Linked DNA regions of Danio rerio. The protein of the gene in region 4 interacts with the protein of the main gene of each other region in a pairwise test. Links are inferred from orthologs where the notes say so. Each region holds a gene or a part of one and is shown on either strand. Other genes may lie near its edges.

Region 1 (8,480 bases), on a different chromosome or scaffold from region 4:
CACACACACACACATAAAGATTTGGAACCATCCTAGGGTGACTAAATGATGATCAATTTTTAAGTATAAAAAATTATGGCCATGAAATGATCCCTAAAAATGTGTAAATATAGAATGTAAATATATTAAATGTAAAGATAAAAATGATAACAGGTAACAGATTTATTAATCTGCTTGTTAAAGGGATAATTCATTAAAAAATAAAATCCATTTGCTGATATCCTTCTTGTTTAAAACCAGATTGAGTTTCTGTCTTCTGTTGAACACGAAAGGAGATATTTTAAATAATACTGAAAACTGGTAACCATTGGCTTTTTTTCCCTTATGATAAATGTCAATGGTTTACAACATTCTTTGAAATGTCTTGCATTTGTGTTCAAGCTAATTAAAAAAAAAACACATAAAGGTTTGGAACCAATTGAGGGCTAGTAAATAAGGATTACATGTTTTAAGTATGTTCATTTAGTAGACAATTTTGTCTAAAATGGTGTATAATTGTAAGTAAATATATTAAATGTATAGATAAAAAAGGATAAAAGATGACAGATTTCTTGCTTTAATCTGCTTCTTAAAGGGATAATTCACCCAAAAATAAAAAATCATTCAATTACTGATATCTTTCACTTCTTTAAAACCAGTCTGAGTTTCTTTTTTCGCACAAAAGAAGATATTATTTGACTTCCATAGAATTTTTTTTCTGCTATAGAAATCATTGGGTACCAGCATTCTTCAAAATATCTTCCTTTGTGTTAATGGTTTAAAAACACATTATGGAAGAGTAAATGATGAGTTATTTTTAAGTTTGCGGTGGACTATCCCACTAAGTATAGTGTCATGCATCACAGTCTCTAGGTCCAAACACTCTATCAGATACCAAAAGCAAACAAATGGCATTGTTACACTCTCAGTGTGATAAAATACTTTTGAAAGTCATAATTGCAATATTTATTTCTAAATTATAGTTTGTGATGCAGCAATTCAAAAGAATGACGAACACCATGATTTTGTAACAGTATTTCCTTCATCACTATTTTAATAATCGGATAGGAAAAGAATGTAATCTGGGAATATTACCTCTGTCTCTTGATATGATATGGTTGTGATTTTGACCCTCTGAATGGCTTCTCATTCAGATGTCATGGAGGATACTCTGGAGAGAGATGTCACGTATTCACCCTGCCGGTGGGGAAGGAGGAGCAGCGTTACAGCCGAACCACAGCGCTGGCGGTCATAGCAGTGGTTCTGTCCCTCATGTGTCTCGCAGTCATCGCTATTCTGCTGGCATTAAGGTAAGTTACCGTCAATCAGCATTGTTCAGCATTCTTAATCATTATACCGTTATTGATTTACAGAATTCCTTAGATATTCTGCATGCTTTTCTGACAGGTACCACAAAAAAGATGACGCTGATGTAGAGAGCGAAGAAAAGGTCAAACTCGAGGCAACGTCAGTAAAACAGTGATAACGAAGGTAAATAGTTCTCTTTGAACTCCCAGATTTGTATGTTAATAATTTGTTTACATACGGACACACAAATTTACTTTAAAATTTATTTATATATATATATATATATATATATATATATATATATAACAGGGGGGCTAATAATTCTGACTTCAACTGTATTTGCTTGTTTAGATAGATAGATAGATAGATAGATAGAATTATGTATGTAACTATGTAATAATTGTGTAGTAATTTAGCTATTAACATACATTTTTTACTGTATTTCAAATGTTTTTATATTAAAAAGTCCACATAATTTATTATTTTTTACAGTAATGTTTTACATCTTATTAACTATATTTCCTATTTATTAACTATAATATTAACTCTAGTTATTTCTAGTTATTTTTTACAAATAAAGGAGTTAAAATTCTAAAACTTCTAAATGCCGTCTAAAATTTACTTCTAAACGGACTCTTGTGTGTGGGTTCAGTAATTTCACATGTATGTTGATGATTTCCATTGCATGTAAAGTGGAAAAACAGAAAATGAATATAGGAAGTGGAGAAAAATGCTTGTTTTTGAAAGACATTTGAGGTGTGATTTAGAGGTTTTTGCATCTGAACTCTCAAATATAAGTATGTATGCGTGTCTATGTGTTGTGTGTGTTTATATAGAGAGATTTAATTAGTTTTAAACATGTCTAAGTAGTTTTTGTTTACTTTTATAGTATAATATCTTGCTTTTATTAAAATAAATGAAAATTCCAAACATTTATATATACATTTTTAATAAATGTTTTTCAGGATAAAGAAAGCCAAAAGGTCATGTGACCCATGGATAGACAGCACTATACATCTCATCAAGGGCATGATTTCTGCATTATTCCTAGTGGTAATCATTATTTCTCCACAATCTTTGCACCTCTTCGTATTTGTTGTGCGCCCCTGATGTCCTGCAGTATTGGTGTCTGTCTAAACTGGCATGAAGGATGCTTTAAACACTGCCCCGTGTGCAGTACATGTACAGTACTGTCATGGAGATCATGCAGACAGGACTGAAAATGATGAATGTATCGCGACTTCAATCAAAGTTGCTTTTTTGTTCGTTGCTTATTTATTTATGTTGAAAAGCTGAGTTTCTGGTTTCTCCCATCAGTCTGAATCTGTAGTACTGTCAAAAACGCCACAAAGCACTTGTAATTATTTATTTATAATGTATTTGTTATTTATTTTGATACGTAACAATTGTGTGTACTGAATGCACTGCGAGTTTTGTAAATGTGTTTTTATTGTATAGATATTTATTATCGATGAATACAATCAATTAATGTTCTAATAGGACTGAAGTTGCATCGCAAACTTTACAATCGCATTCGGAGGACAGTACGGTTTGAATAATATTTTAGCTAAACTGTGAATTAAACATTTGCGAATGCAATCAAATAAATGTACTCTGCAGGAATGTCAGACGCAGGGCTTAAGCCTTTTTTATATGTATTACTGAGAAAGTGTAGCTTAAATTAAGTGAAATAAAATGGAATACGTTTATTAGTGTGTTTGTTTTATGCGTTTAGTATAAATTACATGATTTCATGTACTAATTTCAAGCAATGGTAACAAATTTCTGCTGTTTAATAAACTATTGTGACTTTCTAAGTGTCTCTTATTTTTGTTGAAAACCTGGGAAAGATTCATAAGTGGCACCGTATTTGTCACAACTAATTAATTCATTCATTTTACTTCGGCTTAGTCTCTTTATTTATCAGGGGTTTGCCCCAGTGGAATGAATCACTAACCAGCACATGTTTTACACAACAAATGCCCTAATAACTGCAACCCAGTACTGGACAAGATACATAAACACTCATTAAATTCACACACATACAGTACCAATTTAGTTTATTCAATTCACTGCATGTCTTTGAACTGTGGGGGAAACCGGCGCACCCTGAGGAAACCCACGCCAACATGGAGAGAACATGCAAACTCCAAAGAATTGCCCACTGACCCAGCTGGGACTCGAACCAGAGATCTTCTTGCTGTGAGAAGACAGTGCTATCCACTAAGCCACCGTGTCGTCCCACAACCAATAATAAAACTATTTTTATTATTTAGATTTACTATTTTTTATTTATAAAATTTTAGTGTGTCGGATATAAATCTGCAGATATACAGATGTATGTTGTAAAGTTTAAACACTCACTGTGTGAAGTTATAAAAATATTGTGTTGTCATTACTACATCTGATATACTTGTCTTTAGCTTGGAGATTTAAGTCTCAAGTTGGTTTACCATCATTTGTCTCCTGAGGAAACCAAACAGAGTGTTAACAGGAGTTAAAATGCAGAACATACACGACTTTACAATACAAAACAACACGTTAATAGTAATAAAAAAATCTTGAGCAATGTTGCCACTGGGGTGACACATTTTACATGTAGCACACAATAATAGACACTAAAAATAAGTCCGCTTAAAGTCCGCTTAAATTAAGAGTCAGCTTCTAAACATTTTGACGCTAACATTGGTATAACGCTGAAACCTTTATCATATACTGTCATTTCTGTTGCACTGTTTTGAGATTGAAAGTAGTCCACAAACTTACCGTGTCTGCAAAACTACCGAGCTGCCTTTTTAGTGAACATTTATTGTGGATTGCCTGCCTGTCTGACATTGAAAATGTTGTCTATGTAGGCCGCTCACTAGGTTTTGCAACAAGCTCTTTGTTTCGCGCATGCGCAGGGACTCGTACCACTTAGCATCATGGCGGCTCCCGTAGACCTCGAGTTGAAGAAGGTAAAGGGTGGTTTTTGGTTTTATATCTAAAAACCAAACAGAGTTGTTACTTTGTTATGATAAAATACTGAATAAATGTTATTAAGCTTTTGTGGAGCAGAAGTAAGGTATAAAACTGTTTAAGCAACGCGATCTGTCAGTGTGTAACGTAGGTGCATGCGAATCCTTTTAATGTGTATTGTTTGTTATAAAGATGTGCAACGTCATATTTATAGTTTACCACTGTAAATCCTTTAGAAATGAATATCCAAACACATATCAATCTATCAACACATCATTACATGCTATAGGAAGCTTTCAATATGGCTTATTCTTTAGTTTTTGCTTATCCATATATATATATATATATATATATATATATATATATATATATATATATATGACATAATTTGTTGAAATATAACTGTTACAGCTATAGGAAATGCTGGATTTGCTGTATTACATATGAATTTGATAAAAAATTTATTATTGTGCTGTCAAAAAGAGCTGTCAAATGTTTAATCATAATTAGTCACATGCAAAATAATATTTTTTATTTACAAAATATTTAGTGATGTCTATATTTATGTATATTTTATATATATTTATAGATTATATGTTGTGACTTTCTAAGTGTCTTATTTTTGTTCTAGAATTTATGTTGAAAACCTGGGAAAGATTTATTAGTGGCACCAAATTTGTCACAACTAATTCATTCATTCATTCATTTTACTTCGGCTTCTCTTTATTCATCAGGGGTCGCCACAGTGGAACGAATCGCCAACTTATCCAGCACATGTTTTACATAACGAATGCCCTACCAACTGCAACAACATATAACAACATATAAATTGTTTAAATATAACAGTTACAGCTATAGGAAATGCTGAATTTGCTGTATTACATATGAATGTGAAAAAAATGTTATTATTGTGCTGTCAAAAAGAGCTGTCAAATGTTTAATCGTAATTAGTAACATACAAAATAATATTTTTTATTATATCTATAGATGATTTATTATTATAAAAATACAGTTATATTTATGTATAATTAGTATTATATGCAAACATTAATGATAGATAATTATAAATAAACATTTTTTTTTAAATGAATGTGTATTAATATATTAATATATACATAAGATATTTTATTTGCATTCATTTTGCAATGCAATAATCACAATTACTCATTTGATGACACATACAAATTATAAATATAAAGCTTTTATAAATAGAAACAAAATCTGTGTTATTTCCAGGATATCTGTGGGGTCTTAAAAAGTCTTAAAATGTCTTAAATCTCAAAAACAAAATTTTAGGCCTTAAAAAGTATTAGATTTACTAAAATATTGTGTTGTAGGTCTTAAATATTTTTTAGCAGGTCTTAATTTTCCTATGTTCATGAATAACTACCCAATCTGGCCATTAACACTCAACAATCACCAACAATCCCAATCTCAATAAAACTTTTAACGTTTTATTTAAAAATAGCATTTAATTACTTTTCTCACAGTAACATTTGTTAAAAAGTACTCCACTTTATATACCGCTGTGGTTGCTGACCTGACCTACATTTTGTATTATTAAAATATTATTATTGTAGACGGAAGTAATTGACAGCTATGCTTTGTTCTATTCTTGGTAAGGGTTATAGGAAGGCCCACACGGAATCTGCGCATGCAAATTTCCGCAGACTTTTAGCCCATCATTGAGTCTATTTATTTACTTGTATAAATGTGTATAAAATTATATTTATTCAGTTTTAAATTGTTTTCAATAATATTATTGTGATATAACAATAGTAATATTAAAATGTTCATATGATGTATTTACAATTCAGTTTTTAGAGTAATATTTTCTGTCTTTTAGTGGATGTATTATGAGAAACTTGCTTTGTTTACTAAATACGTGGATCTAGTTGGATTTGCATTGTAAACATAAGAGCTAAAAAGCTGTTGCTTTTATTTCATGTATTAAGTTTTTAGTTATGACGCTATAACCATAATCATTCCACAAAAATCAGCTGTTTTATTTTTTTATTTTTTTATTTTACAAATTTCTCAGCAGAAATAGCAAAAATGTCAGCAGATTCTGTCTGGCCCTGATTATTGGGTTTGTAGATGAATATTTTTGAAAATTTATAAAAAAAATATTGAAACATAATATTTCCTGTATTCAATGTTAATATTTTTTTTATCTAGCAAGTGAAAATCTTTTCTAACTTGGATATAAAAAATCCTCAGCATTAAGTTCTGTATAAGTCTAAAATTGCATTCATAATGGTCTTAAAAATGTCTTAAAATGTCCTAAATTTAATTTTGTGAAACCTGCAGAACCCTGTATTTCATTCAGAAAACAAAAATCAATGTCATTTCCGCCAAATTTAGATTTTTTTTTAACTCATCAGAAGCGACGTGTTTTCTAAAACAGAATATAAACATGTATGCACGTTTTTTGCTATTTTATGCAAATTCAGGGAAAAAAATGAATAAAATTTTATTGTAAATTTACAGTTGAAGTCAGAATTATTAGCCCCCCTGTTAATTTTTTCCCCCAATTAAGCATAAAAGTTTTAATAGATCATTTCTAATAACGGATTTATTTTATCTCTGCCATGATGACAGTAAATAATATATTACTAGATATTTTTTAAGACACTACTATACAGCTTAAAGTGACATTTAAAATTTAAAAACTGCTTTTATTCTAGCCGAAATAAAACAAATAACACTTTTTCCAGAAGATAAAAATATTATCAAAGATGCTGTAAAAATGTTCTTGCTCTGTTAAACATCATTTGGAAAATATTTAAAAAAGAAAAAAAATCAAAGGGGGGCTAATAATTCTGACTTCAACTTTGTATTTGCATCATATCACAGCGGATTTCCTTCTAATCAAAACCTCAATCTCGGCATCTTTGCAGGCTTTTGCAGAGCTGCAGGCGAAAATGGTTGACACTCAGCAGAAGGTGAAGCTGGCAGACCTGCAGATCGAACAGCTGAGTCGTGTAAAGAAGCACGCAAATCTCACGCATGGAGAGATTACATCACTTCCTGAAAGCACTCGGATGTTTGAGGGAGCAGGACGGATGTATGTATAATTCTGGAGGTTTCAAATCTGGACCCTTTACTCTCTGTTGTTTTGACCTTCTCTTCCTTCCTTTATTCAGGTTTATTTTGCAGTCAAAAGGTGAGATCTCTAATCAGCTTTTGGAAAAGCAGAAGACGGCAGATGACAAGATAAAAGAGCTTGAGGTAGGTTATGAGCAAAAAAACAAATATAGTTGCTTATATTAAATCTACTTGTCCGACAAAGAACTGCTTATCAAAATACAAAGGATAGGTCACCTTATTTTAACATTTTTTACTTGCTGTTAAAAAAAATCTATGAAAGTCATAATTAAATAAGATATACACTCGGCGGCCACTTTATAAGGTACACCTTACAACTATCGGGTTGGAACCCCTTTTGCCTTCAGAACTGCTTTAATCCTCCAGGGCATAGATTCAACAAGATACTGGAAAATTTCTCAGAGGTTTTGGTTTATATACTGACATGATAGCATTATACAGTTGCTGCAGATTTGTCGGTTGCTTATCCATGATACCAATTTCCCGTGCCACCAAAGGTGCTCTGTTGGATTAAGATTGGGGGACTGTGGCCATCTGAGTAAAGTGAACTCATTGTCATGTTCAAGAAACCAGTCTGAGATGATTCATTTGACATGGCATGTTATCCTGCTGGCAGTAGCCATCAGAAGATTGGTACACTGAAGTCATAAAGGGATGGACATGGTCAGCAACAATACTCGGTCAGGCTGTGGTGTTGACATGATGCTCAATTGGTACTAATGGGCCCAAAGTGTGCGGAGAAAATATCCCCCACAACATTACACCACCACCACCAGCCTGAACTGTTGATACAAGGAAAAATAGATCCATGCTTTTATGTTTTTGATGCCAAATTCTGACCCTACCATCCAAGTGTTGCAGTGAAAATCGAGACTCATCAGACCAGGCAACATTTTTCTAATCTACATTTGCGCCCACAGAACTGCCGCTCACTGGATATTTTCTCTTTTTCGGACCATTCTTTATAAACAATAGAGATGGTTGTTTGTGGAATGCTCAGTAGATTAGGTTTCTGAAATACTCAGACCAGCACGTCTGGCACCAACAACCATGCCACGTTCAAGTAATTTAAATCACCTTTCGTCCCCATTTTGATGCTTGGTTTGAACTGCTGCAGGCTGATTAGA
Region 2 (8,468 bases), on a different chromosome or scaffold from region 4:
ACGTCCTTAGACACTGACTGGACGTTGAATTTGGTCACCTGACATCACAACCTAAATCTAACCTAATATTAATGTCTTATGACGTTGTGTGCTTGCTGGGCAATCACTTAATGCACTACAGAATGTTACGTTTACACACATCTACAAATTACATGTAAACGCATCAACCTTTTACAGTGTAAAACTCACTACTCACTACTCTTGAGTACTTTTGAAAGGGCTTTTCACTCATACTTTGAGTAATATTTACAACAGATGCTTTTACTCTACTTGAACTATATTTTTATGCAAGTAATGGTACTTTTACTTGAGTTTGATGATTTTTTAGTACTCTTTCCACCACTGCAAGACAAGTACATATGTGAAGTACTTGAGTAAAGGTACAGATATCTTTAGAAAATATCTCTCAATTAAAAGTATTAAGTACTCCTTTTCGATTTTGCCACAGTTTAGGTACATTTTCAAATCATTCGCATAAACTAGAGACTTGCTCTGACTAAATCATTTGAATCCACAATCATACACTGTTTGGTTGAGACTTTTCAGCAATGACACAAGATTAATATGTTTAAACAAGAAACCAGTTTCAGTCGCAACTAGACCATTTGATTAGAAATCTGATGTAAAGCTGAAGTACGAGGGATGTGCATAAATCCAGAGACTCATTTTTGAATGCATATACTTATGGAAATGGAAATATTAATTTTGTTTTGGAGCATACTAGCTTAAAAATAACATTAACACACTAACAAATTCATAATGAATGGCAAATAAAATAATTTATCACTATATAATTTCTGACCACTGATCAGAAAACAAAAAAATAAACGTGGATGTGGCCCATTTGAACTGCTGACCATTAAAGCTCTGGGATACGTGAGCTACGTGATGAAACACAGCTATACAGAATCAATGAGCTTACTTGAAATTATAGCTAAATAAAATATCCAACTTGAAGGCAATTGGTGTGAGGGATAGCAGACTGGTGAATGTCAGTCCTAGCTGTTGGGATTTGATTTACGTTTAGCGGGAGCATGAAAATGCCATTGGTTAGTCAGCAGAGCATTACTCGGCTGCAGTGAAAGTGATTGATCTCACTGACGCCTGGGCCACATAATTACATTGCAACTTTTTGCCTTGTCAGCAAACCAGCTTGGCTCTAACTGCACAGGACTGGGCAGAAATCATCAAGCCTTGCCATGAGCAAAGAACCTAAGTTGGCTAAAAGAGCTTGAAAGCTGTTAAACGTAACTTCATAACAAATGCAGTACGAAAACTGAGCCAAAAGATGAAAATAATGAAATGAAATCAATCAGAGCATGTCTTTTATGTAAAATGAAATGATGATATATGGCTTTATATTCACTTAATAATTGACTTCATAATTAACATAAAAAATAAAGTATAGAAATAGTATAAACTGCAGTAAACTCCACTATTGGTAGATATAATAGAGTTGTTTGACTGAAACAATGACTCCACATGCAATAAATTTCAAATAAAAGAATAATATATATATTAGCCTTTATATCATAATTATCATTTTATTCAATACTTTATTTATTCAAACACATCTTCAGAACTAAAAGGAAAAAGTTCAATTTGTGCGCATAATACTGGTCTGTCCAACTATCAAGAGCGTAGAATTGGCATGGACAGAGGGGACATTGCCTCACCAATTACTGAAATGTCCCCACCAATAATTTAATAGCCTTCAAAATAAAATAATGCTCTGTCAAGCCTTAGTAACCTAAATGTGCTTAAAGAGTTAAATTCATACAGATAATAGGAATAAAATTGTTACATTTTGTCACATGCCTCTCTAAATTTCTGTACATTCATACCTCCTCAAACCAGATTACAGTAAAATCATGTCAATTGACTTTTGCAGCATAGAATTATTATTATTGTTATTTGTATTATTAGGTGTTTAAATGTTTTTAAAAGCATGAAACAGAATTTGTGCTGTTTAATACATTGGCTCTAGGGATGTACGTCTCCACCAATATCAAGAGCCTATGTGTTACTGTGTGTGTCAGAGAGACACAAAACCTTTTTACAGCTCTATAGATAATATTTGTTCTCATGTAGATGCTTGAAAAAAATGATCCAATATATGTATATACAGTATTTTTAAAAACATTTTCAATTACAGTTTTTCTTGTTTGCTTTGACCTGGTTAAAGAAACTAGGTTCTACTTCATTTTCATTATCATTATCACTATCCCAGCAAGTGCAGAAGACAGGTCTTGCAAATGTTTAAACCCTTTCTCATTGGGTTGACACATTTTCCGCACCATTTTTCAAAAAAGTTAACACGGATGTCATTCAAGCATTCCAAACTCCATTGTTTTAGCTATGGTAACCAAACAGAAACCATCTATTCCTAACCATTAGAAACTACCAAGATCAGTATGAATTCACTGAAAGCACCGGTTTGACACACCTTCACACAAATCTTCATTTAGCAATCAGTCTGCAAACATTAAAAATGGTAGAAGGTCTGTGTTGTTCTGTGCCTGCATGGATGGAGGAGGTCAATAGTGGCTATGTCCTACTCACAATAGATTTGACTGTATATTGGTTTACATGTTTTCTCTAATATTTACAGTATTTTATTACTTTTGTCTGTTTTTTTAACAGTATTTCAGTTTTAAGCCACAGTTTGAAAAAATGTCATGAATTCAACATAAATTTAATAAAGGCATTTCTTATTCTGGATCCAATTCTTTGCAAAAAGGCAGCCCAAATAAAAAGACAACAAATGGCATTGGCAATAGGTTACAATGGCAAGCAATGGTGCACTGATTCACACTGAGGTCTGTATTTTGTATTTTGTTGTTCATTGTGTAATGGTTAATTGAAAGAGCTCATATACTTGTTAGCAAGTTGTGTTGTTTGAAGGTTAAAATAGCTTTTGTTGCATATTTTAAATGTTTTGACACGGCATGTGCATTTTGCAACCAAAATGTGTTATTTTGACCATGAGTGCCGCTGTTTAGGCCTGTGTTTTAACTGTTTTAAAAATGTGGAGTTTCAGTTGACGGCTGCATGAAAGCAATCCAAGGAAAACTGTAAAATAAATTAAGCAAAATATCTTATTAAAAGACTTAAACTGCACAAAAATCAGTAGTCTAAAAATCCATATATATTTAAATGTATATATATACCCACACGCAAAAATAATAATATTGTAATGAAACTATATTTATAAAAATAAATCGATCATCAATAGACAGAAGTTAAGGAATTAAATTAACCCTATAAAAATGATATTCATCAAATATAAGGCTGCATCCAGTCAGGAAAGATTAAACTGTTCTGATGGGCTCTAGAGAGGCAGAAACAGGCAGCTATTATTCTGCCAGCTTATTTGCATGTATATTGACTTTGCTAACCTGATTCATGCTTTGCACTTTGCACAACTTGTGTAATAGTATATTTTATAATATGCTTCGCATATAGTTAAGCAAACATATAGTTAATGGATGTGACAGAGAAAAAATGTGTCTCATGTCAAACCCGGCTCTTAAACCAACCTCACAAACTATAAAAGAGAGTGCTTCAATATCTTGAGTTAAAAATGGAAAAGACTGTCTGATAAAGAGCTTGAGCTCAGACACAATTGACGGTGGTCTTTTATTGTGCGTCTGGTCAGGGGACAAGGTCATTTAGAGAGATACCAACACCGAAGATTCACACGTTCCTCTGGGAGTTCTCATTGACAATGCCAGCTAAATGTTAACCACATGTAGCCTACTTGCTTTTTAGAGCATTGAATGGTTTGTAAAGAATTTATTATTTGTTCAACATAAAAACGAGGATATAGAAGATCTAGACTCTGAATTATAGGTGATCAGTCAATAGCAGTGCTGCAGGAACATTCATTTATTCCAACAGCTGCATATTAATAAATTCAAGCTTTTCATTTTGGTTCAGAAATAGTCACTCTTCTACTTAGCATTTATTTCTCCTGTGGGACTTGTGGTATAATTGGTATTCTTTTGAGAATGTCTTGTGTGTTCATTTTAGTTTAATTAAAATGTTTAACCCAAAAAATTATATTGTATGACTGACTACTTGTCGAGGTTTAGCAGCAAACAAAAGAGGACCATTTACCTACCATCCTGACTTGAGTAAGATGGCGCTAGATCCTATTTGCTTGTTGTCCCTTAGAGGGCGCCGTAGTGTTAAGTCGCGTGTTAAACTGTCAGCTGACATCCCGGAAGTTATCCAAGTAACAAACATCGCTGCCAGTTTCTGAACATTTCGTGTTTCTTATTAGTTTAATAGCCTTATTTAGGACGCTGTTATGGAGGGTGCACTGGAGCAGCATCTTGACGATACGTATGTTTAAAAAGAAACCACTTTCTTTTCTTACGCATGTAACGTTACTCGTTTTGCGTCTTCATTTACTGATCTCCTTTCTCACTCTAGGATGAAAAATCCAGCTATTGTTGGGGTTTTGTGCACAGACGCTCAAGGACATAATCTAGGGTGTAAGTAATTTTTATATTTTCCTTAATACTTCCCTTAGTATAGTTTTCCTCTGGTGACCATGATTTGCTTGGTTTACATGTACTGGGTTTTCACTTGCAACAAGAGGTTAATATTGCTTTTAATATTTACACATGTGTTGAAGGTATGTAAAACGTTTTGAATTTTTATTAGTTTGATTTGTTTCTCAAAACAGGGAACGGGTGTCTACTGTGGACAACTTTATAACTGTGTTATTGACCAACTTAAAGTTAACTGAAACAATGGTAAACAAAAAAACATGGTTAACTGGGAGAAAATACAAGCCTATTCAAATGTAATTATGCAAAAAAAATGTAAAGTAAAATTAAATGATGTATAGATATAGTTTGAGTAGTAAAATCTATAATGGCATGTGTAGTATTAAAAATATTAATCTGATAAATTAATTCAACTTGAGCATTTTAAGCCTGCTTTTTCAGTGTATTACCATGTGCAAAACAATATACAATTTAAAACTTTTCAACAAAATATAGGGTTATAGAATTGTGCTTTATATAGATTCTCAGTTGACTCTTTTCCATTTGGTTTCCAGAACTTGAAAATATACTGTAATTCTCAATGACATTACAAATATTTTAATCTCCAGGCCGGGGCTCACTATCTGATGAACATGGAGGAGTTGTATCTGTACTGGCCAAGCAGGCTGCTTCTCTAACCAAAGATGCCACCGACTGTCCTACAGTGTGCCTGGAGTCTGACTGTGGGTAAGGAAAGCTTCTTGACCAGCATCTGTCTTATTTCTATGTATCTTGAGAATTTTTTGATTTGAGAGACAACAAAACAATCTGCAGAAATCGATGACATTAATTAAGAAAGTTAAATGAGGGAAAGTCAGTTAAACAACAATCTTTGAAAGTCATTCATCCCATTATACCTTCCCTCTTCCACACACACCAGTTGTCACTAAAGTGTATATATAGTGACGTGTAATAAGTATTGAAACTATCAAATTGGCGTGTGACTTTCTCAGAAAGTATTCCATTCATTTTAATTCATCAAGGATTAATATTTTGTGCTGGTCATTTGGTTGCTTTAGAACTGTCTTGGATCAATATCACTCAAAACCACCAATAGATGGCGGCAAGTCTTAATGAGTGATTCATTGAATCATTGATATTTGTAGTATGGATATAATTATAGAGAGGCATATGATTTCTTATGAGTTTTTGGGGGTTTATTATTTTAAAAAAAGCACTATTATCAAGTAAATGTTTTTAAGTAATGGTTAATTTTTTGCCACTATCATTATGGATATTCAATCAAAAGTAATGAAAGCAATGGAACCATTTCAATATAATGCATGGCATATGTATTACTAATTAATAGATGTAATTCATCTTTTTTTAAAGTTAATGCGGATGGGTTTAAACAAAGTAAATCAATTGATTTTAACATTATAATTCCTGTACACAGTAGTTAATAAAGATTGAACATTTAACTAAACGGTTTTAAAAATGTCTGCACAGCCACAAATTTGTTGGCAATATGCTAAAAGAATGTAACTTGCCATTAAACAAGAACAACGAAAAAATAAAAGGCGCTCTTTTTTTTTTTTTTTTTAGCATTAATTTCTCACCCATGACTTGTGGAATTGCTATTCTTTTGAGAATGTCTTGTGTGTTTATGGTTGGCAGATTCTTAAGTTGACTGAACTTGCCACCAGCTGTGATTTTTAGAAACTGATATACCTGGAGTAAGCACCGTCTGACCTGGGATAGGGAAGAGCAGGGCACAAAGTAACACTTTTTGGTTTTGGCCAAATAATGAACAAAGTAATGGGCTTAGACAAACCATTTTTTGTACCAACAACACACAAACTGTCTCCTACAGTTTCTGTGCAGTATTGCCAAAAGTGCCAGGAGCAAAAATGTTACTATTTGCCCCAGCAGTGGGGCACGTTGTAACAAACAGAGGGTAAGTTGTAACGCATGCTTACAAAGGCAGATTCCACACAGTTAATTTAATTTCTGTTTACTTTAAATAGTAGCTATATTTCCTCAGTACTTGGCTCAATTTATTTTGTGTTATACATAGCACAGCATGTTTATTTACTTATTTATCCACTTAATGAACACATTTGGATTTTTTTTTTGCATTATTATAAAATGCGTTTATTTGCATTATTAGCAATAAAACTAATTTTTTCTATTAAAAAATATATATTTTCTATAAAAAAATCATGTTTATTTAAAAAGTTCTCAACATTACATTATCAAAAATAAAAAATAAAAATATTCAGTTAGTTTAATTGGTGTCCAACAGTGTGTGGCTTAATTGTAACACCCTGTTACAACTAACCCTGCTGTGTCGTGTTTTCTTCAAAACTGACTAGCAGTCACTGTCTTTTTACATCTTTCAAAATGGTTTCATCTTTTAGCCTAGAAGATGGTAATCACAGCAATATAAGATTTTTTCGTACATGCTTTCACAGATGTTTTTTTAAGTAAAACAAATTTGCTGTAATAAAAAATACTGCAAACTGCTGGAAAAATGGTTTCTGTGTTTCTCGTCCAATTTTCAACAAACTTTTTCAATAATTGGCAGGAAGATGTCTGCCGACGCTGTGGTGAAAATTTTGGAAGCATGCCATGGTTAACCCTGAGCAAAAACCTTAAAATTGTTACATTTTACCCCACGTTACTTTGTGCCCCGCACTCCCCTTATCTATTTAGAGTTCTGGGTATATGTGATTGTAAGTTAGCCTTGCTTTCTGGAATACCCCTCTGTTTTGCTCTGGCTTTGTATATAACTACTTTTGCTGGTGAAAGGGCAAGAAAAGCAGGCAGTATTATGTTATGTCTGAAATGTAACTTAATTTTAGCTTTGTACACAAAAATCAATATCTATTTGTGATCATGCCTATGCACTGACATTTAGGTAAATGGCACTGTGACTTGTGTGCTATTACCCAAGCAACTCGTTTGTTATAATAAAAAAAAACAGAACAATATTTTTGGCTTTCATAACAGCATATTGAGTCAATCTAAATGCATTCTGACAGGCTTCACTGTGTAGTGAATGCTTTTGGTATCTCAAGATGTGTTTTAATTGTAGTTTTGCTAACCAGGTGATAATCTCAAATCAAACAGCAGCTAATTTTAATCTTAAGTATTAAATGGGAATTCTATGTCATTCTGTCATTGCAGGAACATCTTGGTGAGAAGACATGGAACAATTACACTGGCTGTGCATAAGATGGCATCGTGAAATCTGTTGGTCTAAGTTTTTTCAATTTTAAAGATCATTAGTATGCGTTTGATAAGCTTCTGCTGTCAATTGTCGAAACATAGAAGCTCTATGGGTGTGTGAAATCTTGTCTTCCATCATATCAGAAATCGTCAGATGTTTGTTGTCAGTGTTTAATCTAATTTATTTTCCTATATTATTACTTTCTTTCAACCATAAAGCACACTTTAAATGTCTTCACTGCTTTTTTGTTCAAACAGTGAATAAATGCATTAAGGAAATTCACGTGGTTGAGTCTCTGTGGTTGCACAGTTAAGAGAGTTTTAGTTGAAGTAACACAGTGTGTTCAAAAGGGGGCAGCAATTGTAATTGAATCACCTTTAAGAGTATCTATGGTGAGTAACAGTTTATATACATGAATAACAATTAAAAATCAAATGTCGAGACAGATCAACCCTTCAAATTAATTATCATCATCATCTTGGTCAGTAACTACCAATAATAAAAGCTGTGTAATGTAAACTAGTAAAGCAATTTTTTTTAATGAATAACAAATTCAAATTATATTATATTTATATTGTATTATATTTTAGATTGCATTGGTTTGTTGTGTGCAAATAGATGCAGGCAATTATTTTTGTGTGTGTCACTTGTTTGCCTTGGATAACTCGTTCTGCAATAAAGCATATGAGGAAAATTTGAGGGAACTCGGGGTTCCTGAATTTTTTATCAGTCACTCAGAC
Region 3 (8,522 bases), on a different chromosome or scaffold from region 4:
TCGCCTTTCCAAGTTTTAAGAACAACAAATAATAACTTGATTTCCAGTTGATTATTTGGTATGAGAAGTTGCTTATATGAAAGGCAAAAGCCTCTAGATTATGCTTATTTTAGCAGAATAAAATATGATCATGACTTGATTTTTAATTAGTTAATTAGGACAGTTAGGTCTGACTTTAATGTACAGTATAGAAAATAAAGTCATGGTGGAGTGGAAAAATATTTAATATTGCGAATAACTTCCATGAGCTTGAAGACTGCATCCATACATCTCTGCAATGACTAATTAATGACTCTAAAATAAATTGTTATTGTAATAAAGTCATCTGGGATGGCAAAGAAACCATTCTTGCAGGACTATCGGAGTTCCTCAAGATTCTTTGGGTTCATTTTCAATGCCTCCTCCTTCATCTTACCCCAGACATGCTCAATAATGTTCATATCTGGTAACTGGGCTGGCCAATCCTGGAGCACCTTGAGCTTCTTTGCTTTCAGGAACTTTGATGTGGAGCCTAAAGTTTGAGAAGGAGCGCTATCCTGCTGAAGAATAGCCTTCTTCTGTGGTTTATAATGTAATGGGCTGCACAAATGTCTTGATACCTTAGGCTGTTGATGTTGCCATCCATTCTGCAGATCTCTTGCATACCCCCATACTGAAAGTAACCCCAAACCATGATTTTTACTTTGCCAAACTCAACAAATTTCTGTGAGAACCTTGGGTCCATGTGGGTATCCAATAGGCCCTGCAGTATTTGTGATGATTGGGATGAAGTTCAACAGATGATTCATCTGAAAAATCTACTTTCTGCCACTTTTCTAAATGATCAACTAGAAGTCAAGTTATTATTTGTTGCCCTTACTACTGGGATCGATGACAAGACTTTGGTCAGGTAGTGTAGATCCTACTAAAATTTTAAACAAACTAAAACCTGCACATTATGTTTTCACAAAGGTCACCTCAGGCCTGTTTTCCCGAAAGCAAATACTCCACAGATTTGTCACACCCTTGTTGATTCTTTTACTTAAACTGTTTGTTGGAGAAAACAAGGGGAAATCCTAACAGACAGGAAGGTTCCCCTTTTATAAAACAGGACTCAAAAGTACATTGCCAAAAATATTCAGGCTACAAAACAATGCGAGGGCAAAATATCTGGATGACAAATTTGAGCCTGGACGACTCACCATCGACTAACAATTGATCAGAATGATGTCACCAGCACTATTATCGACTTAAACTGTACTCCTGTGATACGTGTACAGGAATTCAGCCTGCGGTGATAATCACTTCGGAGTCCGAAATATGCACATAAACAAAGGAACTCGCATTGAATATGAAATAGCACAGCAGTGAAGTCAAGGCCAAAGCAATATTGTTGATCTTAGGAAGCTCGTCCCTAATAAACACAGAGGTGGGCGGTCATCATGCACAGCACAAAATAAAGAAGTCAAATTGGGCTTCAGCAGCACTTGAAGACATAAAAGAGCTAAGAAAGTGCCAAAGGTCTTTTCAATACTCGGACGTTTTGAGGAGGGAAAACGTCTTTGTTCCTTTGTTTAAATAGAGCGGCTTGTCTGGTGGTCCGATCTGAGGTGTATAAATAATAATGGTATTGTATCCTTATGTGCAGGTCACACATGCTCAATCAAACACATGGCAGGCTGCTCCCATATTCTCAAGAACACATTGACATTTCTCTATAAATAGGGGGAAGTACTTTAGACTGCTATACGCTTGAGGAAAACACGACTTCCCTAATAATGCAGTAGGCCTATATGCTGATAAAAGACTAAATGTGTCTGCCATATGAGCTTCCTACTAATGATAAGCATGAGTAGAAATCTTTTCCGTGTTATAAAAATATACGGGCCTCGCGCGAGAACATTAAGATCATATATGATATCAGTCTGTGCTGAGAGGTTTTAACAGCGAATTATGTTTTGTTAAGCATTTGTGGTCAAAAGTATAATTTCTGCCTCAAAACCAGGGTACGAGTTAAAGAGGGGTTTGGTTTGGAGGGGATTGACCCCCTTAATTAACACTTGATCTCTCCCTCATCAAGACAAGATGTATGGGGGGGGGGGGGGGGGTGTCAGCCCTTTAATACTGAAAAATAGTTTTCCCTTATCTGTATCTTAAATAATAGTATTAATATTTAAAATAATAGATATACGAATATACATTTGATCATCCCTATAATGGTCCATCCCACTATAGGGTTTCTTGCATAATGGCGCCAATAGGGTATATGCAGTGCAAGTGTTTCTTCCCATACTGATCAACTTCCGGTAACCTATCAATGTGACTTTTTTCCATTTTATACGGTTTCTTTTACAGCACTGATAACAGAATTTGGAATTCATTTAGTTGTTCAAGCATAAAACGAGATGAAAAGCCGTTTACAAGCACGTGCCTTTCAGGTTCAGCAAACTATCGCAGAAGGTCCATTAAATATTCTGGGGTAAAATAAATGTTCATATTTTAAAGACAAGAAAAATGTAATTTAATGCAGTGCTTCTTGTACATCCTGATACCCACTTTATATCAGATATCACTTAGGCAGTGGAAATAGCTGATTTTTGAAGAAAACAGACCTTAAACGCACCGATTTTGTCACGGCAAGAAGTTCACCGAAAGCACCTGACCCAGGTTACTGACAAATTAAAAGTAGTACTTCCGCATACTTCTGCGTAGTCTGTGCAATCATTCAGCAGTCTGAATCTGACAGATCTAAGCGGTCACGGGACACTTTTCTTGTGTTTGTATTTACATATAACCTAAAAGTAAAGCATAGCTTGAATATTTTGAAATAATAAGAGCTCAATGTATGTCAGGATACAGTAAATATCTCTCAAAACACTGAAAACTTCAATACCTCTTATATTGATTAATTTGATATCATTTAAAGAAATCGATCAATTTGATTCACTGAAAACTTACCAAAAAGTCAACCCCCTGATCGCGTAATTTGCACCCTGCTCACAACTTATAAAAAACAAATGTTTTCAGAAGAAAATGTTAACGTTAGTGCTGATACTTAGAGTAAAACTCACCGTCATGGCCTGAAATCTTCAATATGCTAAAGCCACTGATCTGTACAGCACTTTTTTGGCGCTTTCTATCCTCTCCCAAATCAAAATAAGCTATCGGTTTAGTCTAATGTTCCAGTTTTTATATAAAGTTCGGTGTGCTGGCGGTATTTAATTGTAGGCTGAATGAAAATCAATAAACAGGTGTTTTTAAAGGCCTTTTTTATCGTCCGCTACGTGATTCGAGATTATCTAGATTATACTGACCTCTACTGGTGATAGTGGAAATCGCTCCTGTCTTCAGACCATTTGAAATCTAAATAAAACGTCTAAATAAAACGTCAACGACAATCCAGTTTTTATATAAAGTTAGTTGTGTCGTCCATATTTATATGTAGGCTTAGTGATGAAAAACTGTACAAAAGCAGAGGTCCTTCTTGTTCTTATTGTCCGCTACGTGTTTCGAGATTATATAGATTTGACTGACCTCTACTGGTGATAGTGTAAATTGCATCTGTCTATAAACCAACTGAAATCTTAAAAAAGTTGATGTCAGCATATATTATGCATTTATATTATGTAATATCATATATAATATCATTGATCGTTTTTAAATAGTTTTTATTATTAGCCTATAATTAATTGATGTTATCAAATTTTCATCCATCTAAAAAGATTTTATTCATATAGGTAACTTTTTTATATACTTCAAATAAAGTAATTTAGAGCATTTTTTCAGATATTTACAACTATTCAGAGTATGTATATCTGCTTTATCTGCAAAAAGATTATAAATTAAACAATACCTCGCTATTTTTCACACATTAATTTTGTGTAGCGACGTTTAAATCATCAATGGAGAAGCAGTGAAGAATTTTATTTATCATTTATTATTATTATTATTATTATTATTATTATTATTATTCATTAATCTTTATTTATTAACAGTTGCCTAAATGCCAAGCATATAAATTACATTCAGAAAGATTAACATATACATAATTAAATATATATTAAATTAATTAATTCAACTAGGGAAAAAAATAATAAAACAAACAAACAAACCCAGGAATACACAATATAAACATAATATAAATGATACAAAAAAATCACAAAATTTTTATATAGATTTAATGTTTTAGCGCTGACTACGTTTGAGACAGTCACAGTACGCGTCATTCTACTTCCTGTTTAGAGTCTGGTGGTCTGGTTGGGTAAACATTATACAACGTGATGTGAACTGCAACGGGTTGCTTTACCTTAAACACTGCGAAATCAGGTAATATAAACGATTCTGCTTTCCATCGGTAAAAAAACAACCTGACAGGCATTGCCTGCATCTATATCACTGTATTAAATGTCATTACGGTTTTTAAATGTACGACTTTATTACACAAGTCAATGTCACGGGAGTGTTTGTTGTTTATGTGCGCTCATGACACAATGGATGTGAGTTACGCAATGAAAACAAGAGCTGTCGTTATTGAATTGTTGCAGTTGTTGTGTGGGGACATTCGAAAACACTTTACTTCAGCTTAACGTTACTTAATGTAGCTTAACAGCAAGCGGGGGAAACCATATTTCTATAAATTTTCACACACAAACAAGTGACAAACACTTATTTTAATGTCAATAAAATGAGCTCAATTTTATTAAGTGAAACTTATCACGTTATACGTTTCTCCCCATTATAAGTCCATTATAATAAAAGGAAAACGCTTAACATGGCTTAATGTACCTCAGTGGGGCACACCACAACACTACACTAACTACTATCAAAGGATCAAGCTCTGATTCTGTAGATGAAATGAACAATGTCACATTAATAATTTTATCCCCCATTTAAGTCCATTATAAGAGCTTAATGTGGTTTAACGTAACATCCAGAGATGATCAACTTTCTATAAAAATACACTCATAAACACTTACTGCTGTGAAAAGAACAAACTTTTATTTTAGTGTATCAAGTGAACATTATCACTTTAAGCATTCTCCAAGGTCCATTGTAAGAAAAAAGCTCGAGGTGGCTTAACGTACTTTTAACCCAGACCAGACAAGCATAAATATCTGTCAAACTTTACTTGTGATTACCTTAACTATTAATGAAAGAGCGGGCCTTAATTCCATAGATAAAGTGAACAATATCACAATAAGCGTTTTCTCCCCCATTCAAGTCCATAATAAGGAAAGGCGTAACTTTACAACAACTGAGGGAAACTAAATGTTAAAAAGGCTGTTCATCAAATTTTATTTATGATAGATTAACACTTGCTGTCAAAAGAATGTGCTTTTGCATGTCATTGACATCCCCACAACAGCCTAGGGAAAAACGCTTGACACAATATTGTTCACTTTAGCTGTGGAAACGGGGCTCGTTCTTTTGCTAGTAGTGTTAATCAGAGAAAACGCTTAACGTTATGTTTTTTACTTTATCTATGGAATTGATACTCCTCCTTTTTACAGTAGTTGGGGTTAATTACAAGTACAGTTTGACAGAAATTTGGGTTTCTCTGGTTGAAGTTTTGGTGCATTAAACCACGTTAAGCTTTTATTTCACGTTAAGTGTTTTAGAATGTCCTGTTGTGTGTGTTTTTTCTTATTTTCTTTATTTGTCAAGCAGAGAAGAGCCTGACAGAAATAACACAGACGCTGACGATGGCTGCAGATTCAGCAGTGTCCAATGGAGGAGAGAACATCCTCACTGACAGCGATGATGATATCCTGAAGTACTGTAATTACAGCTTTATTAGGAGAAACATTCACAGACCTAATAGAAACTAAACAGGCTTGCCAAGTTTACCAGTATCTGTTTTGAGCGTGCGTTTCTTATTGTGGTGAAGTTGGTTTTATATTTACACATTCAGACTTTCTCCTTAATAATTATAATGTAAGAAAAGTATTCTTTGCGATTTATACACAGGGAAATCATATTAGCCAATGACTATCAAAGTACAACATTGTTCACTGTCAAATATATAGTGCTAATGTTGTTTGAAGTCATAATTGCAAGTGATTTCAAATTGCATATTCAAAGTACCATGGTAAGCAATATAGGGAGCAGGTTACAAGTTGTCACTGAACAAATGTGCGCATATAAAACCGACTTTACCTTTACCAGTGCGTTTCTTAACATACTGAAAGTTAATGACAAAATGTCGTACATCAATTCTACATGTTACACAAGTAAAATTATGCAAACAAAACAACACACTAAGGATCCCACATTATCAGATATGCAAGTCTCTCCAAACACAGCAAACCTGCAAATAAATATCTACAGTGCTATTAGCTACTATTCAAAGAAAATATGAATATCTGATTGCGAATGCATCACTGTGCATTCACATCGAAGGCGGTGAGAGCATAAAAGTTCGCTCTGGCCGCAAAAGAACAAGAAGGCCGCACCGAACCACATCGAACAGTTGCTCATTACCATAAAGTTGACTTAATTTCAACTCTTCTCGACGCCCACATCAGTGAAGACGCGCCGCTCCTCACTGCTTATTGCTGCCATGTTCCATTGAAAATTATTGACTTCAGTCTACTTTGATACTCTCACCGCTTTCGGTGTGAACGCACTTATGCCAAACCATTGAGAGGGAAACCATGTTGAAACCACATGACCTACCAAATATACTACTACTACTATTATTATTATTATTATTATTATTATTATTATTAAGCCCCTAATTAAAAGTTGCTTTCGGCTGCGTCTAATGCATTAATCATTGTTCACATATATGACCAACAGTTGGATCATTGGGAATGCCACATGAAACTTAAGGCCCAACCCCAATTCTACCCCTTAGCCCTCCCCCTTACCCCTACCTCTCGTTTTGTGCATTCCCATAAAGGGGTAGGGGTGCCCCAATTCTCTTTAGCTTGAAGGCGTAGGGCTAAGGTGAAGGGCTAAACACCCCTTTGAACAGAGATTTTTCAGGACCACACTCGAAACCAAGGGGTAAGAAAATTTCCCAGAATACACCAGCCACAACAGCGGGATAGCTGCACCCGGAAGTCAGGAGATCCACAAATTATTATTTTTTTTTTGTCATTATTAAGAATTTTTACAATAAACAAGCACATGTTTTGATATATTCATAACCGCGTTTGTGTTTTACCGTCATGCTTTAAAAAAAAAAAATTAAATAAAAACTAATCTCTAATCCCTAATAATAACTCCTGTATAGGAGTCTCAAATCATTCTGACACTTGATAGCTCTGGAATACCCTGTCAGAAACGTCTAGTGGATGTTAATGTTGTTTTTATTGTGTTTACATAGATGAATAAGGCCACTGTGTAAATGCACAGTACAGTTACGATCTTATTGCCACATTAGATCGTTATGATAACTTAATATATGCCTTCAGTGATTTCCAGAAAAAAAAAACGCAACTGGAACAGCAGTCGCAATCATCTGATCTCATATGAAGCAAGAGATTGCGATGAAATGTGCAGGTGTTGTAGTGGTGTGCCATTTCTTAGGGGTAAATTTTAAAGCCCTTCCCCTTCAAACTCTGTTTCAATGAGAAGGGAAAGGGGTACAAAAATAAAATTAGGATTGGGCCTAGGTGTAATTAGTTTTTTTATGCACATGCTAGGATATACATACAGTGCTCAATGCAAATTGTGTCATCAGAATAGTAATGTTTGACCAATATAAATAGCAACAATTCAAAGCATGTGCATAATTTGTGCAGTTTGCTTTGAGTCATGTTTGCACTACTTAGTAAACTAGATGTCACAGAAAAAAACAACATAGGAGACGGAACAAAAACCGCAACAGCAAACTACTGAAGACTGCAAAAAATAAAATGGCTGCCAAGTGCATGGTTTTGAGAGAATAAAAGATGGATGTACAACATCATTAGCATTACCACACAGGACATGGTCCATGCCACTATTGAAAATTGCTTATTTGTTAGGATTTGAACGTTCTTCAAAGCATTTGGGATAATGCAAATACATAATTCAGCAAAATATATAACACTGCTGTGTGGTTTACATATTGTGTTCTTAAGACTCATACTTCAGCTATTGTTTGCTCCTACTTTGATACCAGTAGTGGAGGTAATATCTTTATAAATCTTCTGTTTTTAGTCCTAATGACCTGTCAGAAGTTTTGGCAGCAGGAACCAAAGAATCTCATGACAAAGCTGAGAATTCACCATTTGTCAAAGACTTCCTAAGGGGCCGAATTAAACGGGAACTTTTTAAGGTGAGTCTGTTGGTACTTTTGATGAATTACTTTTTTTTTGTTCAAAACTCCACTATTTTCTGACCTTTATACTTTTGCTATTTTGTCATTTTGTCAACCCCAGCTTGGCACCACTGCCCTGTACTATGTTTATTCTGCCATTGAGGAGGAGATTGAGAAGGTTAAGGACCACGCAGTGTTTGCCCCTCTATATTTCCCCTCTGAGCTTCACCGGCAAGAGGCCTTGGCCAAAGACCTGGCGTATTTCTATGGTGAAGACTGGGAGAGCCAGATCTCC
Region 4 (6,680 bases):
TTTCATAAATACCTTAACTACTACTAACTTACTAATAGTAATAACTTAACTAGCTACTTAAAACTTAACTTGCTAAAGATTAAAGTCATTCCTTTAGCCTGTAAATCTGAGTGTTTTTATAGGTGAGTGATGATGTGTGTTATCTCCACTGTTAGTGTGGGCCGCAGCAGTGAGGAGGACAGCAGGGGGGATGTAGACGACACCGAGGGCGATCCTGACCCCACACTGCCCTGCACAGAGGACGTCATCCTTAAAACTGAACAGGTCACCAAAAACATCCAGGAGCTCCTGAGAGCTGCTCAAGAGTTCAAGCACGACAGGTCTGATGGACTCTTACCTGTCAAGCTGATTGCAGAGTTGCTTTTCTACAGTAAAAAAATAAACTTATTCTAACATTTGTCTTTGGTTGCAGTTTTGTGCCATGCTCAGAGAAAATCCACTTAGCTGTGACAGAAATGGCCTCGCTGTTTCCCAAGGTAAATAACTGCGGATTTTTCAAAATGTCCTAGGAAATTTAAGCATACTACTATGTTTTTGTTAGGCTACGTACACTATCCATACCCTAGCTCTTATCAAGAATCTGCTAAAAGATTAAGAGATATTTCATTGCAACTTTATCTAAGGTGAATACAAAAACAAGGTAAAAAGTAAAAGGCTACGGTCTATTTTTCCTTTTGTCTACAATAATTTCATGTTTATTGTTTTGTTTTGGGGGGTTTTGCAAAGTGAGTAAAAGTTAAAAAAATATCTGCTCGCTCACAATTAAATTGGAAAACAAAAACGAGACCAAAATCATTCACTATATGAAACCTATTATAATGCAATGACCTTTAATATACAATAACTTTGAACTCTTTAGAGTCTTTTCAGCAAAGAGTAACCTTTGTGCAAACGGTAGAGTCCAGCTACAATCCTGCTCCAACACACATGCCTCATAGTTTTCAAATAAGCCGGAATGACTTGATTATCTGGATCAGGTTTATTTAGTGTTGAACTTTGTTGGGTTGTGGCCCTTTAGGATCGGAGTTTGACACCCCTGCTGTAGGGCTTTTGTTTTATTTATTGAGAATAATATAGTTAAATGATATCACACAAGCAAGAGTGCCTGTGTTCTGAAGTATCAGTTTGAATGTGATCACAACTGTGGTATCGATTTTATATAACAGTCCAACAAAGATGAAGTTAGATAATGTTTTTTTCCTTTGCCAGTGAAAATATTTGTGTGGTGTTTCGTTTATGTAGGAATGTTTTTAAACGAATCACTTGAGTGAATGATCAAATCACAAACAGTTGCTTGCTTCATTTCTAAATGAATCACCCATTTAGAACAAATGGAGTTAAAGGTTCAGGACACCCTGGAGAACATTTTTTTTATATTAACAGATTTGTGTGTGTTGAGCATCAGTTAAGACAATGTTAGCACCTGTCAGCTTTAATTGTGGGGAAAACTGAATAATTTTGAGCTTTTGTAAGCTACAATCGCTCAAAATCGGCGACGTAGCGCAGTACTGCAAGTGCAATGATGACGGGTCGGTTTCTCATTATTATTCATAGCGGAGTTTTCTTATCCTATGAGAAGAGCCGGCTGCTTAATTATTCATGAGACCTGCCAGAGTCAAGCCCGCGCTGTGAGACACGTCACGGACCCACGGCACGGGCACACAGTATTTAGCCGTTCATGAAGGCTCATATGCGTTTGTTTCCATGATCCACGGGGTTTGTTGCATGTTTTCCCCCGCGATCTTGTCAGGGCCGATCATACAGCAAAGCTGTGTGTGTGCTGCAAGCATTTTTGTAGGGAGAGCAGGACGCTGTCTTTAATCAGGAATTCGTTCACATTCAGACACATCACTGTGCTGCTGTGTTTGCCTAAATCCTCCAGATTACCAGCAGGGCTAACGGTTAAAATAGACAGGTCAGGAGACCTGCTGCACTGAGTCTGCTGGATACGGGGATTGAGGGAGAAGTCCTCATTTATAGGGTTTACATGAACACACTTATCTTTATAATGATATAAATTGTGGTTATGTGTATATGAAATTACGAATAACATGTAGCAGGGCATTAAATCACTGTTCATTTCTTTGCGTTTTAACTTTGTAAACTATAAACTCATGCGTCTCCTCACGGTTTGTCTTAATTTGTAAGCTTGCTTCGTTCGCTCATGTTTTCCCCTGCTGGCCACGCCCACTCCTGCCCGATGCTCGCGGAGCTTTACGCCCATTAAACATGCATCTTTTGAAAAAATTCTGAAGTAGACTTTAACCGAAAGTGTGGGGTGTCATGGCCCTTTAATGATTCAGTGAATCACATAGCAGGACTCTGACTTGCAGCCATCTACTGGTGGTTTAAAGGTGCGTGTCCACCAAAGTCTGCAGAAGTTCTTTTTTCCCCAAATCTTGAGTGTTTTTTTTCCCTGCTGTTGTGAATGGAAACTTTGTATTTTTTAACATCAACAGCGCAATGAGGCTTTGAGGTTTGTGTGTTCTGTGGGTGCTGTGTTCACCAGGTGGCACATGTGAATAAATCACATTATTTGCGTGTAAATATTTTGAGCTTACTTGCTTCATTTGCGTGTCAAATTCACTTCACAATAGATGCGTATTTGTATCATGAGCAGGGCTTCTGTCTGCCCGGTGACTAGCATTGTTGCTAAATGGCTAACATGGATTTTATTGGGAAAGTAGCTGTGATTTAGGAAGGCTGAAGAGCAGCGTAATTTCGTTCAGCATCATGTCTTGTGCACTAGATCCTGATTTCAGAGGAGCACCCAATTCTCCCAGTTCATCAACTCCTCCAGAAACTATACCTGGATAATGGAAGCTTTCAGCTGTGCTTGGAACTTAGCCGAGCCCAGTTTGATGAACTGTTGTTCGGTGTCTGCAAGAGGATTTCCCCTCGGGACACCAACAACACTCACTACTACATAATCACGCCCCCATAAATAAAGGCTCTTGATTAACATGGCGCGAATGTCCGCTAATGTTCAGATTTTTTAAGTCAAGCGATTCATGCCTCAAACGAGCAAATCGCTCAACTCGCTATAGGACTACAGGACTATAGGACTTTTTGCTCAATAATGCACCTAGTTTAATCTAGGTTATTCTCTTATTGTTTTGCTAATGTACACACAAAAAAATGAGTTATACTTTTGGCTTAAAAATGTCAAACCAGATGCACTGAATCTCTATGTCCTCCTCTTTGTTTCCCTCAGAGACCAGCGCTGGATGCAGTACGTTCTTCCTTGAAGCTCCTGGCAGCAAGTGCGTCACGTTTGCAGGTGGAGTGTCGTAAAGCGGCGCCTTCGGACTCGTCGGCCAGTACAGTGGACTACCAGCTTCTTACCCAGCAGGTCATCCAGTGCGCATACGACATTGCCAAAGCCGCCAAGCAGCTGGTCACCATCACCACCCGCGAAAAAAAACAGTGACCCGTCCGGCACACTGGGCTCCATCGGGCAGGGGAAAAGACTGAGAAATGGGAGCAGACACTGAGTAAAAACTGACGGCTGGGAATCGTTAGTCAGGTGATGAAAAAAAAGTGCTATGAGGGAGCGAAGACGGAGTGATGAATCCAGCTCTGGGCATCTGGATGCAGAGATGTGGGAGAAGCCGAATGGAGCGGCCTGCTTTTCCTTGCACTCCTTTTCTTATATCTATATGGTTGAACACTACACAACAGAGGATTGATGGTCAGTGAGCGCATGGGCGGCTGCTGTTTGGTTCTTTTTGTGAAACACACAGGCACTCCTAACCTACAGAGAGCCAGAAATGTTCATTTGTTTTCAGTTTTCCATCTCCCTTTCGATTGATTTTTGTGTTTTTAAAGTGCCGCTCCATTGACTCGTTTCTCTTGGGACAAATGTATTGACTTGCGAAAACAACACACTGGAGTTATTTTAATGATTATGACTTCTGTTTCATATTATTGTTACTGTTATTGATGTCTTCTTTTGATTTTTTATTTTATTTTAATTTTTTTTGTCACACAGAGCTTTGCGAACATTAACGGGGTGAACAGTAACCTGTGAAAACTAACCGGAACACTCCCGTCCTCCAGTGATAGAAGCACTGGTTCACTCACACAGTGTTTTACTTCACTATTTTGTTTTAATCAAGGTGTGTTGTACACTAGCCAAAGGAGCAGAGGAGAGTGAAGACACTACAGTTGCGGATTCCTCTGTTTGTTTGTTGTTTGTCGTGTTTGAGCACAAAGACAGAAGTTGGGGTACAAAAACGGGGGCTCGTCCGGGATACGTCCCGGCTTTTCTCATCTCATTGCATCTCAATCCCTACGTTAGTGGGTTTGTTATCAGAACAATGCAAATGTGTTAGCACAATCATCACATTAGCTCATTAGTTTAGGACAAAACCACCCATTTCGGACACGATGTCTTTTACTTATTAGATTATCTGCACATGATTGACTTAATCGAATGGCCTTCATCAGTTTAGCAGAGACTCTTCTGGACCAGGCTTTTTTTTGTGTGTGTGGTTGGTTGTCCGTTTGAAAATATTTGATTTTGATTTCCTGCCGTTGTTTATTTTTCTTGTTTTTAATTTAGCACACATCTAATGTTTTTTTAATGTAAGAAGACCCTAATTATGTTTCATAAGCTACAATCATGTGAATGTTGATGGTTGAAGATGACCACTATCAATGTTCTCAACACTAACATTTCAGAGACAGTGACAGGGAAAAATACGGGATGTCCATCTGCTGCATCAGGACCAGTGAAGTCACATTCTGTGGTGGTAGATGGGGCAATCGGGGTTTCTTTTTTGTTGAATTGGGGCAAATGAGCACCTCGCTTTATGGATGTTCATGGGAGAGGAGTTAAACTGGAGCTTTCAGGATAAACGCACATACATGAACGTTTATCCGCCTGAGGCTTGATGCCACGTTTGTGTGCGAGCGTGATCAAATCAAGTATTTGTTGTACAGTTACTTTGCATTTTTAGATGTCATGCTATGAGCCTTAAACCTCCTTTTTTCCATATTGGTTTTACCCACCAGCCTTTTAAGTTAAGCCATTTTTTCATTCTTGCCTTTTGTTTCTTGAACTTGGGGAATGGGATATTCTTAGCGTCCCTAAAAACGTGTCAAAAAGATTGTCTGATCATTGCCTTTGCACATCTGCTAGACTGACTTTAATCCGCAATCAAGTGACTGGCGTCTCTCTCTTTCACACTAGAAGCACATGGTGAGTAAAATCAGTGTATGCATTGTTTATTTTTATTTTTTCTAGATTTTTAATTTCCCACTAAACATGTCACTGTTAGATGGTTTACTGTAATGATGCCTTGGGAGAAAGAGTTTGGGCCATTATTAAATAAGCACTAAATTCAGAGAGGATTATGGGAAAGGGAGTAATTGCACACACTAGGTCCAACTCTGATTCCTTTTGAAGTAGTTTGTAGGCATTTTCCCAGCAGTCCTGCTGCAGATGCATTCATTGTTCACGTAACGCACCAGTGGAATTATTTTTAAACCGACTAATTGACACTATTCTGTGATCAGTCATACTAGCTGCACCTACCTGTTAGGACTGTTCTTTATCACTCAGTTGTTCTTACTTGAGAGATTAGCTGATGGGTGAAATTCGTTTAGCAGAGGCTACCTGTAAAATATAGAAATTAAATAAAAGACTAAGCAAAACCATTTAAATCGTAATAAAGACTCATAAGCTGTACATTTGTAATAAACAAAACCGAAAGTTCATTGTGTCCTGTGTTTTTTTTTTTTATCAATGTGTTTTACACATTTGTGCAAATGCCAACATTAATCAAGGTTAAATCAACTTAAAAAAATTGTTTTGGCTCAAATCTTGGATTGAAAAATATATTGACAGTCTGACACAACTATGATAAATATGATGAACCTATGGATAAAAGGTCAACCAGGTGGCTACTGCCTGTTAAAGAGTAAGTGTTTTTTGAAATGTTAAATTTGAGCAGAAATGATATACAGAATAAGACCAATATTCAAAAGTAAAATAATGATAGTGAGTATTTATTTTGTCCGTTTGATTATTTTCGTCATAGGATGTATGCTGTTTCCTGTTTGCATTTTATTCAAAGGTTAAATGCAGTGCCTACACTTTGTGTTTACATTATAGCCTGCATTTGCTGTTATATCAACTTAAAGGGTTGTAAAACCATGTATCAAGTACCAATGTAATACCAAAAGGTTTTATATAAAAGTATATATATATACTGAGTCGCGACAGCTCCGGGCCGCAGCACACATTACTCTCGGGCCGATTCTTACGGCTTACGGCCGCCGCATCTGGCCCGATTGATAAGGGCCGGAATCGGGCAGTGAGTCCACAAGCATCCGAGTCCGGCAGCCGGAGTCGGGCCGTGGTAAGTCTCCGGCAGGCGAGAATCTAGCCGGAACTGGCCCGAGTGTATTTTGCTATTTGGGACCCAGGCCCGGCGCCAGGAAGTCAAACCTGAGGGGGCACTTTAAATCCATAGGGGGGCACTAGACCTGGTGACTGATTTTGGTCTCTTTATAAAAACTGGGGTGCACAAACTCTTTCTGAGGGGGCAATCTAAAAATACAGCTCCTGAGATCTGACATTCAGGGCTAATGATGAAACTTCTGCTCAGACAGCGATGTTTACGAGCGAGCTAAATGCTGCATTGTGTAACTATGGTACACAGACGGTACTGCTA

What was found. The genes of interacting proteins can lie anywhere in the genome.
Region 1: the proteins of git1 (region 4) and pfdn1 interact in binary tests that used the Homo sapiens proteins (3 or more experiments, as listed by UniProt). The link is inferred for Danio rerio from reciprocal best matches to the Homo sapiens genes GIT1 and PFDN1.
Region 2: the proteins of git1 (region 4) and lamtor5 interact in a two-hybrid assay, tested with the Homo sapiens proteins (2 studies listed by BioGRID and IntAct). The link is inferred for Danio rerio from reciprocal best matches to the Homo sapiens genes GIT1 and LAMTOR5.
Region 3: the proteins of git1 (region 4) and hmox2a interact in a two-hybrid assay, tested with the Homo sapiens proteins (2 studies listed by BioGRID and IntAct). The link is inferred for Danio rerio from reciprocal best matches to the Homo sapiens genes GIT1 and HMOX2.

What each region holds. Positions count from the first base shown.
Region 1 is NC_133196.1:32,810,362-32,818,841, reverse strand, and holds the start of pfdn1 (prefoldin subunit 1), read left to right. Parts: upstream 1-4,198; 5' UTR 4,199-4,211; coding exon 4,212-4,244; intron 4,245-7,145; coding exon 7,146-7,312; intron 7,313-7,391; coding exon 7,392-7,476; intron 7,477-8,480. Other genes in the region: hbegfb (heparin-binding EGF-like growth factor b), read left to right, coding at 1,134-1,289, 1,387-1,462. UniProt on the Homo sapiens protein: Binds specifically to cytosolic chaperonin (c-CPN) and transfers target proteins to it. Binds to nascent polypeptide chain and promotes folding in an environment in which there are many competing pathways for nonnative proteins.
Region 2 is NC_133183.1:26,632,185-26,640,652, forward strand, and holds lamtor5 (ragulator complex protein LAMTOR5), read left to right. Parts: upstream 1-4,186; 5' UTR 4,187-4,312; coding exon 4,313-4,347; intron 4,348-4,437; coding exon 4,438-4,499; intron 4,500-5,125; coding exon 5,126-5,243; intron 5,244-7,685; coding exon 7,686-7,746; 3' UTR 7,747-8,266; downstream 8,267-8,468. UniProt on the Homo sapiens protein: As part of the Ragulator complex it is involved in amino acid sensing and activation of mTORC1, a signaling complex promoting cell growth in response to growth factors, energy levels, and amino acids.
Region 3 is NC_133197.1:27,576,240-27,584,761, reverse strand, and holds the start of hmox2a (heme oxygenase 2a), read left to right. Parts: upstream 1-4,240; 5' UTR 4,241-4,305; exon of another isoform or gene 4,306-5,412; intron 5,413-5,489; exon of another isoform or gene 5,490-5,646; 5' UTR 5,647-5,681; coding exon 5,682-5,752; exon of another isoform or gene 5,753-5,757; intron 5,758-8,127; coding exon 8,128-8,245; intron 8,246-8,348; coding exon 8,349-8,522.
Region 4 is NC_133190.1:30,937,355-30,944,034, reverse strand, and holds the end of git1 (ARF GTPase-activating protein GIT1), read left to right. Parts: intron 1-155; coding exon 156-320; intron 321-412; coding exon 413-476; intron 477-3,214; coding exon 3,215-3,430; 3' UTR 3,431-5,719; downstream 5,720-6,680. UniProt on the Homo sapiens protein: GTPase-activating protein for ADP ribosylation factor family members, including ARF1.